2 linked regions of the Anolis sagrei genome follow. The protein of the gene in region 1 purifies or fractionates together with the protein of each later gene. This does not show direct contact. Links are inferred from orthologs where the notes say so. Each region holds a gene or a part of one and is shown in the gene's direction. Other genes may lie near its edges.

What was found.
Region 2: the proteins of RYK (region 1) and PCDH7 purify together in Homo sapiens (affinity purification with mass spectrometry; 3 studies listed by BioGRID and IntAct, with this or other methods). This does not show direct contact. The link is inferred for Anolis sagrei from reciprocal best matches to the Homo sapiens genes RYK and PCDH7.

What each region holds. Positions count from the first base shown.
Region 1 is NC_090023.1:225,882,494-225,886,398, forward strand, and holds the start of RYK (tyrosine-protein kinase RYK), read left to right. Parts: upstream 1-1,249; 5' UTR 1,250-1,543; coding exon 1,544-1,733; intron 1,734-3,905. UniProt on the Homo sapiens protein: May be a coreceptor along with FZD8 of Wnt proteins, such as WNT1, WNT3, WNT3A and WNT5A. Involved in neuron differentiation, axon guidance, corpus callosum establishment and neurite outgrowth.
Region 2 is NC_090025.1:115,071,584-115,075,488, forward strand, and holds the start of PCDH7 (protocadherin-7), read left to right. Parts: upstream 1-1,307; 5' UTR 1,308-3,106; coding exon 3,107-3,905.

The sequences.
Region 1 (3,905 bases):
TGGAAGCAGGAGAAAATACCGACAAAAATGGACTGGATTGGGAAAATAAAAGACATTAAGGATATGGATGAACTAACATATTGGCTTAGGCAATATAATGGTCGAGCAATAAACCCAACAGATTGGACGGTTTTACAGGAATATATAGAAAGAAAAGACTGGTTAAGCTAAACGAAATAGGAGAAATAGAAAGAACATACAAGATGCTTTCTCTCTGGACATAAATAAACACCAAGGAGGGAAGAAGAAAAGAAATACAGAGGACTTAATAAAGTAAGAAGAATGGAGGTCACTATAGGGTGTAGGTTTTGTGGGTTGTTTGATGGGTTGTGTGTGTGGGTTGTGTTGTGAGTTGAGTGTGTTTTTGCTGCTGTTGTTTTTTTTCTTTCTCAATCTTTTTCGCCTTTTCCTTCTCTTTTCTTTCCCCCCTTTTCTCAATGTTGTTTTAATGTATACTTTGACAAAATTCAATAAAAATTACTGAACGAGAGTTGAACTTTTCCCATGCCTGAGCTAGACAGCCGAGAGAGCATCCCAGGCTCTTCCATTCCAAACAATGGACTTCTTCTTAGACTGGCTATGTGTTTGCGTAATTATATAATAATCATAACAACAACAACAACAACTTTATTTTTATACCCTGCCTACATCTCCCCGAAGGGATTCGCCCCGACTTACATGGGGCCAAGCCCAATCACATTGCATAAAAAATATGAAAGCATAAAAACAACATTATAACAATAGTAAGACTAACAGCCTGAGGCGGAAAAGGAAAAGGCCTAAGGCTGTTAGCAATGGTGGGAGTTGAAGTCCAAAAGGCCTGAGGCTCTTAGGAACGGTGGGAGTTGAAGTCCAAAACACCTGGAGGGCCCATGTTTGCCCATGCCTGATTTAGCACCACGCCCCTCATTCCTCAAAGTGGCTGAGGGAGAAAAGGAACAGGCCTGAGGCTGTTAGCAATGGTGGGAGTTGAAGTCCAAAACACCTGGAGGAAGGCCCAAGCTTGCCCATGCCTGATTTAGCACCACGCCCCTCATTCCTCACTGTACTGGCTAGGATTGATGGGAGCTGTAGTCCAACAAAATCTGCGAAAGAGTATCAATTTAACCCTCCACGATCCCAGCTGCAGAAAAATTGTCTCTCCAAAACTGGAAGGAAGAGAGAAGGGAGAAATATGACGTCACGAAGTTTGGACAGGAAGACGTTTCCCAGTGGCTCTTCTGCGCAAGCTCGGAGGCAGCGGCGAGTGACGCATGCGCACTGGCGTTCCGGCGCAGGGCTTCCCCCACCCTCCTCCCTATCGGCGCGCGACGGGTCTTGGCTCGCGCCTCGGCGGCGGTTAAAAAAAAAAAGATAATAAATAGAGAGGGCGCGCGCTCGCTCGCTCGCTCGTGTCCGGGGCGCGTCCTCGTGTTGTTGCCGAGGGAGGATGGCGCCGAGGAGGCCGGCGGGCCTGGGCGCAGGGGCGTCGCGCGGCGGGAGCACGAGGGCCTGCCCAGGAGCGTGAGGGGGGGGGGGCGCTCGGGCGGGAGCGAAGGGGGCGATGGTGCGGGGCGGCCAGGGCCATGGCAGCTTCCTCCGCCCCTTCGTGCTGCTCGCCGTCCTCTTGCCGCCGTGGCCCCCCGCGGGCGCCGAGACTCTGAGGGAGCCCCTCGAGGCGACCCTCGCCGCCGCCGCCATTGGGCCGGGCCTCAGCGTCTACATGAGCCAGGAGGAGGTGCGCCGCCTCATCGGTGAGTGAGCGAGGCTGTGTGAGGGGCGTGTTCGGGGATCCCTTCCCTCCGCCAGGCCCCGGAATCGCCAGGCCCTCTTTCAACCCATCGAGAAGGCCCAGGCGCAGCCCTGGGGGGATCATCAGCCCCTCCCCTCGCCCCTGGCACGGCCTTGGGAAAGCTCCCCAGCAGCAGTAGATCTTGAGCCTGGGTTGGAAAGCAGCAGCCAGGCACGTACGTGGCCTTGGAGGAATCGCCCCTTCCCTTTGCTTGAACTTTGCGCCTACAAAACATCCCGTCTTCTCCTTTCGTGAGAGTTAGACCCCTTCCACACAGCTGAAAAAAAATCGCACAATATCTGCTTTGAACTGTAGTATATGGCAGTGAGGACTCAGATAATCCAGTTCAAAGCAGATATTTCTACCTTGATATTCTGGCTTATATGGCTGTGTGGAAGGGCCCTTATTATTATTATTAAATTTTATTTGTACCCTGCTAGCATCTCCCGGCGCAGTGGGTTAAAGCACTGAGCTGCTGAGCTTGTTGATCGAAAGGTCGCAGGTTCGATTCCGAGGAGTGGCGTGAGCTTCCGCTGTCAACCCTAGCTTCTGCCAACCTAGCAGTTCGAAAACATGCAAAATGTGAGTAGATCAATAGGTACCGCTCCGGCGGGAAGGTAACGGCGCTCCATGCAGTCATGCCGGCCACATGACCTTGGAGGTGTCTACGGACAACGCTGGCTCTTCGGCTTAGAAATGGAGATGAGCACCACACCCCAGAGTCAGACATGACTGGACTTAATGTCAGGGGACTACCTTTACCTTTAGCATCTCCCGAAGGACTCGATGCGGCTTACAAAGGCCAAGGCCTCAACACAACAACAACAGACAATAACAATACGATGCAAAGCAAATTAAAAACATAAGCAATAACACAACAAAACATGACACTATTACGCAATAAAACCAGAGCCGGGCCAATGATGGGTATAGGTTAAAAAGTGCTGGGTGTGTGAGGTGGTATGTTGGAATTCTGGGCAAGTGCAATGTGCAGAGAGTCTTAAACTCTAATAAAGTGCTTCTGGGACGTAGTGCTGGAGGTTATCCTATTCTGGAAAGGCACATCGGAATAACCAGGTCTTCAAATTCTTCCTAAATACTGCCAACGTGGGTGCTAGTCTAATGTCTTTGGGGAGGGTGTTCCAAAGTCGGGGGGCAACCACAGAGAAGGCCCTGTCCCTCGTTCCCACCAAACGCGCCTGCGACACAGGTGGGATCGCGAGCAGGGCCTCTCCGGATGAACGAAGTGAGCTCATGGGTTCATAAACGGAGATGCAGTCACGCAAGTAGGCAGGTCCCAAACCGTTTAGGGCTTTGTAGGTAAAGCACCTGCACCTTGAATTGGGCTCGGTAGGTAAACGGCAGCCAATGCAGCTCCTTAAACAGGAGGGTTGACCTCTCTCTGAAAGGAGCGCCAGTTAACATCCTGGCCGCCGCCCGTTGAACCAGTTGGAATTTCCGAGCCGTTTTCAAGGGCAGCCCCACGTAGAGCGCATTGCAGTAGTCCAATCTGGAGGTCACCAAGGCATGGACCACCCCGGCCAGATCAGCCTTCGCGAGGTACGGTCGCAGTTGGCGCACGAGTCTCAATTGTGCGAAAGCCCTCCCAGACACCGCCAACGCCTGAGCCTCAAGCGTAAGCAATGAATCCAAGAGGACTCCCAAACTGCAGACCTGTGGCTTCAGGGGGAGTGTAACCCCGTCCAGCACAGGTTGCCACCCTATACCCAGGTCACGCAGCCCCACGTAGAGTGCATTACAGTAATCCAATCTAGAGGTGACCAAGGCATGGACCACCCCCGGCCCTTAGACTGATTTGCAAAGCAGGGAGGGGTCTTGTGGTCTCCTCCAACAATTTTCAGTGCTAATCATGGTGATTAATTGCAACATTCACACTTGCCTTTAACAGACAAGTTCTTTCTCCCACCCTGGACCTTCCACAGATTTATTTATTTACTTATTTATTTATTTACATTATTTCTATCCTGCCCTTATCAGCCCGGAGGCGGCTCAGTCGGCACAATTCGATACCATAAAATACATACATTGATAAAGCAAAAAGAAACATTACAATACATTTAAAAATCTGGAAACTATGTCCTCTCGTTCAAATACTCATCCGTTCCATCGTCTT
Region 2 (3,905 bases), on another chromosome or scaffold:
CAGCGCCTGCAGCTGTTGCTGCCGCCCCAGTCGCGCCAAAAGGAGGGAGTCCTCGCGGGCGGAAGGAAGGAAGGAAGCGAGGAAGGGAGTGCGGGGTTGTCTCGGAGAGGCAGACATAATAATAAGAGAGGCGCGCGCGGGCTCGAGCTCGAGCTCCCTCTCCGCGGCGGGGAGGAGGGAGGGGGGAGGGCGGCTCTTTCCGCAGCGCCTTTCTCAGCCGCTTCCAATACTCTTCGCCCTTTCCTGGGGTTTTCCAACCCTTCAGTCACGGCGGCGCTGTTTCTGCCCTGTCAAAGCAGTCTTCCAGTTAAAGGGGGGAAGAGGAAGAGGAGGAGGAGGAGGAGGAGAAAGAACAACTCTCCCCAATAAGGCTTTTTGCATTAAGTCAGCCCTTCTTCGCCTTCCTCCTCCTCTTCCTCCTCCGCAGCCAGCTGCCTCTTTCTCCCTCGCTGGGAGGGAGGGAGGGAGAAGCCAACAGGCGTTCCTTGCCCCCTCTTTAGAAAAAAAAGAGAGGGGGGAATGCCACTGGCGGCGGAACGCCTCAAAGTCAAAAGGAGAAAGTGGCGAGCTGAGGGAACAAGCCAAAGAGGACGGAGTTTTGGACCAGAGGAAGGGAAGAAAGTTGCTTTCAGAGGCAGGCGGGAGCCGGTTCTGCTTGACACGCGTCAGTCAGCCCCACAGCGCGGGAGAGAGAGAGAGAGAGACAGAGACAGAGACAGAGACAGAGGAAGGAATGAAATAGCGGGAGAGCCATCTCTCTAATCCAGGGATCTCCCCTCCCTGTAGACTCTCTTGTGTACAGGCTGGAGGTTCCTCTCCTTCTCCTTCTCCTCCTCCCTGGAGTTTGGATCTCTCTCGAGTCACTGCAGCTCTCCCTCTCTTCCTGTCTGTCACGACCCTCCGAAAGTGATGAGGGGAAACGTCAATAAAAGACTATGCAAAGCAGACTCCACATGACTCTCCCCCCTCCTTTTCCTCCTCAAAAAAAACACAAACCCTTCCCCCCGTTTGGACACATAGAAGACGTGGCTTCCCCTCTTTCAGCACCCGAGGAGTTTCTGACTGAAATATGGTGTTTGAAGCAAAGGAGGGAGGGGGAGAGGTTTTTAGCTGGGCTTTTGCTTTCTGCGTCGGCGGGAGGGAAAGAGAGAAGAGCCACCTCCGCCGCTGAGAGAGGCTTCCCATTCCCAAGCACTTTAGGACAAACTTGATGCTCCGCCGCTTTCTCCCCCTCCCCCCTCCCTTCTCTCTCTCCCCCCCCCTTTCTTTCTGCTTCCAGCGGCCAGGCGTCACGCTCGCGCTTTCCTCTGCTCCGCGGCGTGTGAGGGAGTGCGCGGGAGCGCGCCCGCGCGCGCGCCCCTGCAAGTGTGTGCCTCCCAGAGATTGAGCGAGAGAGGCTAGCGAGCTCCCTGCACCAACCAGCCGCACTTGAGCGAGGCGAGCCAGCAGAGACACAGAAAGAGAGAGAGAGGGAGAGAGAGGGAAAGCGAACAGCCACAACTGCGGCTCTCGTTCGGCTCTCCTTCGGCATTGCCTTTGATTACCAGCCATCATTCTTTTGGACACGCGTTGCGACGGATATAATCCAGCCCTTCACGTGGAGAGAAGACCCAGTCCCAGCTCTTTCCCTGCATCGATCAACGAGGAAGGAAGCTAGGGCTACTGGAAGCACGCCATCCTGACTCTTCTCCCCCTCCCCCGCAGCCGACCTTTGGGCTCACCTTTGGACCAGAGGGACACGGAAGGAGGGAGGGGAGGGGCTGAACTTGCCACCCCCTTTTTTACCTGCCTGGGACGGCGAGGGGAAGCCGCCAAAGCCGGAGCTTGGCACTCTCTCCTTGTCCCTGCTGCTGCTGCAGCCCCTTCCGCTGCCTCCAAGCCATGCAGGGTAAATGCAGGTAAGGCGCCCACGGACCCAACGCGCCCGTCCGCGCTCCCGCCTTCCCGCGCGCGCACACGCGCAGCCCAACTGCAGAGGCGACGGCAAACTTGGGACTCCGGCGTCGCGCGCGCGTGTGTGTGCTGTGTGTGCCTCCACGGCTGGGAAAGAGCTAGTAGCCAGCTCTCCATCCTTCCTTGCTTCCTTGCTTCCCTCTCCTCTTAGCCTTTCGGACTTTTCGGGACTAATGACCTTGCGCAGAGTTGATTTATTTTTGTATTCTTCTTCATATTTGACGAAAGACCTGCTCCTTTGCTGAGAAGGGACTGAAACGGACATCCCTGTGGATTTGGGCGCCATCCTGAGCATCGAAGGGGATTCCTAGAAGAGAACGAGAGGAGAAGAGAACGAGAGGAGAAAGAAACGTGTTCTCTCTCTCCCCCCCCCCCCCCCAACAGAGGCATTGGAGATGGGCTATTTGGTGCGGGAAAGGTTCTCTTTTTAATTCCATCGCCGGAGAAGTGGACTGGGAAGCCTGCCTGCTCTTCTTTCTTTCTTCCCTTCTCTCTCTCTCTCGGTCCTTTCCCCTCCACCGGACACCAGCCCGCTCTGAATGAAGCGATTGACATTCCCCCACTCCACCCCCTCCTCCTCGGCGGGTGTCTGCGGAGCGGAGAGGAGGAGGAGGAGGAGGAAAGAGCTGAAGCGACGGCGGTGAGCGAGAGAGAGGGAGGGAGAAGGAGAGGGAGAGCGCGCGCGAATTGGACTGGACTTGGGCGCGAGGCAGCCTTGCATCCCCTTCTTTCCTCGCCGCTGCTCCTCTTCCTTTTCTTGCCAACCTTGCAAAGTGATTACAGTACCATCCAAGGCGGAGGAGGAGGAGGAGGGAAGAGGGAGGAGGGAGGGAGGAGAAAGAGGCGGAACTGCCCCCTCCTTTCCTTTCCAAGCCTCTCCGCTGAGATGAATCTTTCCTCGAGCCAAAGCCGCTTTGCCCCGTGAACTGTGAGTATCGAAAGGAACGCGGGAGGAAAGCAAGAAGAAGAAGAGCCTCCCAGTGACAGCTCTGGACTCGATTGCTCTGATGCACCGCGAAGTTTCTCCTCCAAAGCAGGATTGTACGCGTTGATTTGCCTCCGCTTCCCCCCCCCCCCCTCCGGATTGCCAAAGGGACGTCTTCTCGGGTGCTTCTTCTCCTGCCTGGCTGGGAGGCTGAGGGCTCGGAGGAGGATGTGGCGGCTGCGCCGGCTGCCGGCCCTGGTGCGCTGCTGCGCCTGCTGGCTCCTTCTCCTGCTGCCTCCGCCGCTGGGGCTGGTGGTGCCGGCGTCGGCCAAGCAGGTGCTGCGCTACCGCCTGGCCGAGGAGGGCCCCGCCGACATCCGCATCGGCAACGTCGCCTCCGACCTGGGCATCGTCACCGGCTCGGGCGAGGTCACGTTCAGCCTCGAGTCCGGCGCCGACTACCTCAAGATCGACAACATGACGGGCGAGCTGAGCACCACCGAGCGCCGCATCGACCGCGAGAAGCTGCCGCAGTGCCAGATGATCTTCGACGAGAACGAGTGCTTCCTCGACTTCGAAGTCTCCGTCATCGGCCCTTCGCAGAGCTGGGTGGACCTCTTCGAAGGCCGGGTGGTCATCCTGGACATCAATGACAACACGCCGACCTTCCCGTCCCCAGTGCTGACGCTCACCGTGGAGGAGAACCGCCCCGTGGGCACTCTCTACCTCCTTCCCACCGCCACTGACCGCGACTTCGGGCGGAACGGAATCGAGCGCTATGAGCTGCTCCAAGAGCCCGGCGGTGGTGAGGGGCGGCGAGGCGCCTCAGACAAGAGGAGGCCCGAAGCAGAAGGAGGCGGAGGCTCCTCGACGGCCCGGAGCACCGTCTTCGAGCTGCAAGTTGCAGACACCCCCGACGGGGAGAAGCAGCCCCAGCTGATTGTCAAAGGGCCTTTGGATCGAGAGCAGCGCGACGCCTATGAGCTGAGCCTCCGCGTGCGTGACGGTGGAGACCCAGCTCGCTCTT